2 linked regions of the Tribolium castaneum genome follow. The protein of the gene in region 1 interacts with the protein of each later gene in a pairwise test. Links are inferred from orthologs where the notes say so. Each region holds a gene or a part of one and is shown in the gene's direction. Other genes may lie near its edges.

Evidence for each region.
Region 2: the proteins of drk (region 1) and soma ferritin interact in a two-hybrid assay, tested with the Caenorhabditis elegans proteins (3 studies listed by BioGRID). The link is inferred for Tribolium castaneum from reciprocal best matches to the Caenorhabditis elegans genes sem-5 and ftn-2.

What each region holds. Positions count from the first base shown.
Region 1 is NC_087399.1:3,452,205-3,456,192, reverse strand, and holds drk (growth factor receptor-bound protein 2), read left to right. Parts: upstream 1-1,455; 5' UTR 1,456-1,518; coding exon 1,519-1,596; intron 1,597-1,640; coding exon 1,641-1,738; intron 1,739-1,789; coding exon 1,790-1,909; intron 1,910-1,960; coding exon 1,961-2,126; intron 2,127-2,558; coding exon 2,559-2,732; 3' UTR 2,733-3,410; downstream 3,411-3,988. Other genes in the region: Ucp4A (mitochondrial uncoupling protein 4), read right to left, coding at 1-402, 548-658, 871-901; sta (small ribosomal subunit protein uS2), read left to right, coding at 3,919-3,988.
Region 2 is NC_087402.1:7,242,876-7,246,233, reverse strand, and holds soma ferritin, read left to right. Parts: upstream 1-1,494; 5' UTR 1,495-1,524; coding exon 1,525-1,629; intron 1,630-1,866; coding exon 1,867-2,091; intron 2,092-2,145; coding exon 2,146-2,334; 3' UTR 2,335-2,527; downstream 2,528-3,358. Other genes in the region: tetratricopeptide repeat protein 17, read right to left, coding at 487-597; gem-associated protein 8, read right to left, coding at 824-1,245, 1,306-1,429; soma ferritin, read right to left, coding at 2,540-2,779, 2,825-3,313.

The sequences.
Region 1 (3,988 bases):
CGTTAACTCGCGGCGGCAGCCCCATGATTTTGCGCTTGCCTTCCATTTGTAATTGCACTTTGAGTAAATCGGCCGGACTGGCAATGTACTGTGCAAAGGCCCCCGCTGTGACCCCACAAAGGGCCGACTTCCACACGGGGAAGTACTGCTCGGTGCCCGAGTCGAAAAACTTGTCTTTGAGGTGCTTGTACGTGACAATTCGAGTACCTGAGTAGAACAAGTGGCGGTACAAGGCGGCGTACGCCCCCTGCCACAGCTTCAGAAACCCCTCCTCGGAGACGATCCCCACGGCGGTGCGGAACAGCCCCCGGTACGGGGCCTTGACCATGCTCGCATCTTTGGTGTTGGCGACCTCACCCTGTATTTGCAGCCGCGTTTTGGCCAAATCTAACGGGTAAGTCACTGCAACGAGAGTCAAGGTCAGGTGATGAATAAATCAAAACTAACTTAAACGAAAGACTCGACAAACGCCAAGTTATTCTATAAATAAAGCGCGATTTTTTGAGGGAATACAAGGTGGCAAAAGTTACTTAATTTCTATTTTTACCTAACTCCGCATTCCACGCTCCGACCACCGATACCATGTACATGCACCATAGCGAGTCCACGTACTTGTGCTCCTTCGGGGGCGGAATCTGCGGCATCTTCACCAAAAAGCCTGAAATCACGGTCTTATAAGATTCCCATAGGGCAAAGTTCGAAACTCCCGCGGGGGCAATGTGCACGTAGCGTGACCGATAAAGACACAATAAGCCTTCATTCCTACTTTCTGCGTGATAAAGCGGAATGGAAATTGCAAAATTAATGAAAAAAAGGGCAATTAAAATTCAAAAAATTGTTGTGACGACTTGACAACACCGCACTATTAACCTGCAACCAACTTGTTGTCACTTTGACACATTGACACCACTTGGGGCCAGTTAATGGCAAACTCACCATTTATTTGTTTGGTGGAACTTCCGTAACTTCATTAGTTAAGTAAATAACGAACAGTTATAGATAACAATTGTCACGGCAGTGCTTTTGGGACTACATTGTTGGTGACGTGTGAGTGGTGTTGGTAGAATTTGATTCAAGTGACAGACGATTACTGCGCCCCTGGCGAAAAGTAGTTCCGGATTATTTCACCTTTTTTTTGTTATTTCCGTACCCAGTATCGAATTCTTTCCGGATTATCGTCTTTTGCGCCTGATTACTTGTCCAAAGCCGGCGAGTTTGTTGTGTTTGCGCGATAAGAGCGATTGGCTGTGATAAGATAGTGTTCCTCCGCCATGATTGTCCTCCAGTGTTGAATTTCATCAGTGACAGAAGGGAGGGTTCTCGTAAGGTTCGCGTAAAAACCCAACAAAAACACCAAATAAAGTGATTATCTTCCAAAGAAATGTGTTATTCGTTAGATTACAAAGCGGATGCTTAGTGCTAGTTGGAGGAAGCCAATGTATTGACATTGCCGGTGCTATTTGAACTTTTTTGGAGTCAGCTCTTGTGCTTTTATTTGTGATAAGACGAACTTGAACAATGGAAGCAATAGCGAAGCACGAATTCAACGCAACGGCCGACGATGAGCTTAGTTTTCGTAGATCTCAAGTCCTAAAGGTACTTCCCCGAAATTGTGGCTTGCCCTAAAACCATTTTTCCAGATACTGAATATGGAAGACGACATGAACTGGTACAGAGCTGAACTGGACGGCAGAGAAGGCCTAATTCCTAGTAATTACATAGAAATGAAGAACCACAGGTAAATACACCTTGAGGGGTCACATGATAATAACACAATTCTCTTGAACAGTTGGTACTACGGTAGAATCACAAGAGCTGACGCCGAAAAACTGCTCTCAAACAAGCACGAAGGGGCCTTTCTCATACGTATTAGTGAATCCAGTCCAGGAGATTTTTCTCTATCTGTCAAGTAAACACACTTTTTAGCCCCCAAAATTATAAATAACCCCCATTATCGCAGGTGTTCTGACGGCGTGCAACATTTCAAGGTGCTAAGGGACGCCCAAGGCAAATTTTTTCTCTGGGTAGTCAAATTCAATTCGTTAAATGAATTAGTAGAATACCATCGCACGTCGTCCGTGTCCCGGTCACAAGACGTCAAGCTGAAGGACATGGTGGCCGAAGAGGTGCGGAATCGTATTGTCTTTATTTTCAGAACAATTGTCAGTGTAGTCATGTTGGTATAAGCATTATCACCCTGTAGTTATTTGATATATAGTCTGGTCTACGGAGGACTATAAGTTAGGATACTAAATCGCAGGATTTCCTGAACCCAAAAAAATTGTACGGTAGACTTAAATGAGGGCGCTTCAAGCACCAAATCGTTTTAAATTAATTTAAATTCAACCAATTCACTAATAACTCGGAAAAAATGCAGTAATGTTGAGTTTGCATTCTCATCAGACTGAGGAAAACTGTCGACTAAAGTTTTTATGAAAAACATGAGGAAAAAATTATTTAAAATTTGCGATGATTTTTTGTGGGAGTTTTGACCTTGACAATTGTTTTGGAGAATAAATGGATGTAGAAATGGGCAAATTGTGACGTTCCTGTTGCAGTGCTTGGTGCAGGCCTTATACGACTTTACTCCACAAGAAGCCGGCGAGCTAGAGTTCCGAAGGGGCGACGTAATAACGGTGACGGACCGCTCAGATCAGCACTGGTGGCATGGCGAGATCGGACACCGTCGCGGCCTATTCCCCGCTACTTACGTGACGCCTTACCACACATAATATTTTTCCCTTAATTATTATTTTCTCAAAGGCATTATTTCACCACCACTCTTGGAAAAACCTGCGCAACTGTGGGCGATTTTTTACTTGGTTTTTAATTTATGTGATTTTGTAATAATCGTTTAGATGATTTTATTAATTGCTCATTGTTTTTGGAAAATCTCTTAATGTAGTTTTAAGATCAAATATTTTTATATTGGATCAATTGTACTGAAAAACGTGAAATTTATTAATCTTCTTCAGTTCAGTAGGTTATGGAATATAATATAATGTTTAATTTTTTAGGTAGAGTGTATGACAGGTTGCTTACATTTTACTCTGTTCAGATATGCAACGAAATTAACCAGTTAGGAGCAAGTGGAGCTAGTTTCCGTCGAAGATTTAATATTTAAATCCAATTTCCTATAAGATAGTGCACACAATATCGTATTTTTAGCAAATCAGATGCCATTTTTTGTATTTCTTTAAGTTATGGAGATTCGTGAGTTTATTTCAAAAGATTTTTATTTGTATATAATGCGTTAGAGATTATGCCAGAATTTTATTCAACACTCATTCGTTTGGCATTCTCTTGCTTTGACTTTTAGACTTTGTATGTAAATACTAACATAGTTTTATTATTACAATATTGCATTATTATAATAGGCGAGTATAAGTAAATATATGTTATATAAATAACAGCCGTTTTATTGCTTTCCTCTAACTCCAAATAAATACTCCAATTTTCTGACCTGCCCAACTTTCCTTAGAAATTCCATAAAATTAGAAAAAGTATTATGATATAATTTTACTCAGATGAATTTCACTCGTTGAACATTGATTTAACATTTTGGAAGTCTGAAAATTACTGCTTTTCTCGAAAACAAAAAAGGAAATTCAAATTTCGCACCACAATTTCACTTGGTGAAAAAGTGGCGATAGCCAACATCACGGCACTAAAGTTCCTTTTCCACGAAGGAATCGAATCCCAGTGGCATCTTTCAACGTAAGTCCCTCTAATTTCGAAAAATCTGACCCATCATCAACGATCCCGCCCTTAAAACCCCTTTAAACGTTCAATAAGCCCCATTGCCACACAATCCTGTGCTTATTTTCCCAAATTCGGTCAAAAATCACCGAAACACCGCCATAACCTAACTCTTTCACGCATCTTCCAGGTTACTCGTAACTCAATTCTAACGTAAGGATGTCGGGAGGTCTGGAAGTTCTCAGCCTCAAAGAGGACGATGTGACCAAAATGTTGGCCGCCGGCACCC
Region 2 (3,358 bases), on another chromosome or scaffold:
TAAAATCTTAACAAAAAAAAATTTTTTACAAATAAACGGGTGGAAAAATCATCTACAAAACTGATTTGTAATTGTTAATTTTTTGTTATCGCTTATCATGTTTACACTTTACATAAATTCTAATAAACTAATAGTTTGGTTATGTGAACTGTTCAAGCACGTGGACAACAGTATCCTTTCGAAACTGTTACGTCTAACGCACTAGCAAAAAACTGATCTAGAATAACGTGCAATATCGTATTTACTTTTGATATAATTTTTTATCAAGATATTTATCACACAGTTGTGCACAGTTTTTGCAAGTAAAAGGAAATACGGGATTTGTTTATTTTAGGCAAATCCAAGTCATTTGGTTCAAAATGTATCGATAAAACACACGATTTCACATTAATACCTGTGAATTATTGCCAAAAAAAGATGAATAAAAGCAGAAAAACAATCGCAACATAACCTAAAATTCCCATTAAGGCCAATTTCGCAACTTACATGTGACTGAATCATGCCCTTTTCGGTGACAACCCAATGCGTGGCCCCATTACTTTTAAAAACAAATTTGAAAAACACAAAAAAAATCGTCCACAACCTTAATATCACCATTTTTACGAATCTTTTGACATTTATGTCTCTGTTTATGTGTTGTGATAATTCAACGCATGACAGCTCTCGTCTGGTATGCAACTTCTAATACTCCAACGCTGTGTGCGTTGCCAGAGGCCAAGAACTCATTAGAAATTAAATTGAAAATAATTCGTAATTTCATTAGGCTTGGCTCCTTCAATAAAACCAACAAATACAAAATTAATACCAAACTTTATTAGCATAACTAATTATCAAATCTTAGATTTAAAGGCGTGTGGGGCCAATGCGCCAGCTTGCCAGCGTCCTCCAAATGTAGGTCGTAATTCAACTGAACGGCCGTCTCCATCCCCATTATCTTTGATGCCTTTTTCCCATATAACTTATCCATTTCTTCCCGCCTTTTTTTCCCAACTGGCTCAGTAGGTAAAATAGGCCTCGTTTCCGAATCCTTATCTTCAATTTGTCCTTGCTCCTTCACATAATTTGCATAATCCTCCGTTTGCTTCGCATAAACATTACGAAGGTGTCTAATCAACATTTTATTCTCATATTCGAAACTCAAAGCGCGCGATTTCCAATAAGCAATTTGCTCCTGTTTGTGCCACTCAGCGACCTCTGTGGCCGGCGACGAAACCGGCGTCCATTCCATGTCGGTGATATCGACCACTGTAATGTCCGCACACAAATCGTCCGTTTTACGCTTAAATCGCAACTCCCGCAACTCACTGTAGTACCTCAGCAAACTCCTTTTTCTGCGAGAACGCCGGTTTGAGTTACGTTTGAAGGCTCTCCGGTGTTTTCTTCGAACACTGGTCTTGTTCTTCGAAATGTCAAGACCGGAACTAACCATCTTCCATTTTGTTTTGGAACTATGCAACTCACAATGCAACGTGTGTTGCGCAAGGACAAGAAACCAGTATAAGTGGTTGTCTAACATCGAGAAAAATGGCTCAATCGCAAGTTCGCCAAAATTTTCATAAAGACTGCGAAGACGCAATAAATAAGCAAATAAACGTCGAGCTCAATGCCTTTTACACGTATCTGTCGATGGTAAGCGTTTTTGCGTTCAGTGGCAATAAACACACTCATAAATCATGTTGTGTAAGCTTATTGATTTATTAGAATTTTTTTTTTCGTAAACACAATTTATTTTGTACAATTAAAAAATTTAAAAAGCTGGTAAATTTCCATCCTGAAATTTTGTTTACTGTTGCGTAACTTCGCACAGCCATAAAAATAAACACTTCAGGCGGTCAAGGCTGAGCGTTTGAAATTTCGCGCTTTCAGGCTTATCATTTCCAAAGGGATGATGTGGCTCTTCCCGGCCTGTACAAGTACTTTAAGGCTTGTTCGGACGAGGAGCGCGACCATGCCCATAAGCTGATGGAATATCTGAATAAAAGGGGCGGTCGTTTGGTCCTCACGGACATCCCAGCTCCTGAAAAGCAGGACTGGGGGACGGCTCAGGAGGCAATGTGTGCCGCACTAGACCTCGAAAAGCGAGTAAACGAAGTGGGATTTATTTAAAATATTGATTCATGTTGTGGCTGAAATACTGTGTTTCAGAGCTTGTTGGTCCTGCACAGTACGGCTTCAGGTCACATGGATGTGAATCTGTGCGACTTCCTGGAGACACATTACTTGCAAGAACAAGTTGACGCAATTAAGGAAATCGCAGATCATGTGACCAACTTGAAGCGCGTGGGGGAAGGCCTGGGGGTCTACATGTTCGACCGCACTTTGGCCGATGAATAATTTTTAAATATTTATGTTTCACCCCTAAATGTTACGCATTGAGTTGCAATATTTCCAGAGAAAAAATATATGTATACCACCGATAGACTGATAGAATCTCATGTGTTACGCTTACACTGAAATATTTTTTAACTTTAAGTGCTTATGTAACTTATTGTGATTAACGAAGTGATGAATAAAGCGTCAATTACCACCGGTTTTTTTTTTATATATTATCGAAAGGGAGTTGAACATGAGGGTGCCTTTTGGCCACAAATTTGAGAATTTCTTGGTCGAAGAGGTGTCTCCCGACGCCGCCAGTGTCCACCAGTCTCTTGGCCTTGGTCAGAAGGCGCCCCAGCTCACAAATTGACTCGTTTTGCTCTTTCATAAACTTCGAATCCACCAAATCGACCAATTGCTTGTCGTTGTGACACTCGGCAAGTTTCGAGAGCTCCTCCAGTTGCTAGAATTGCATAAATCAAATGAAACCAAACTTTACATCACTCACTTCTTTAACCCTCCGCTCCAGACCAAGGGCGACCCCTATTGCTATAGTTATATCAGTCCAATTACCGTCCTCAGGCACCGTAATCGGGAAAAGTGTGACCTGGCCCCCCCTCATCAACTGATACTGGATAAATTCAAGCGCATGGTCTTGTTCTTCCTGATACATTGCCCTAAAGTAAGACTGGCATCCAGGCAAGGCTATGTCAGTTCGCCCATAGTAACAAAACATGGAAAGGTAGACCATACTAGCGTTCAGCTCCGATAAAATTTGGTGATTGACTGCAGCCTCAACCTCCTCAGAGTAGTTGTGCCGAAAGGATTTGTTTCCTCGATTATTCGGCTTTTTGCCACCCTTGTCCTTACTTTTATCAGAGCTGTAAAGTCGCAAGTGGGAATTTATGTAACGATTTTGTAACAATGGACTTGATGATTTAATTTGGGGTAAAATGAGAGTCCGCGTGATAGTATTGAAGAATTTTCCGAAAGCCATAACCAGAAAGATTGTCACATAATGAAATAACGTTGACACGAATTG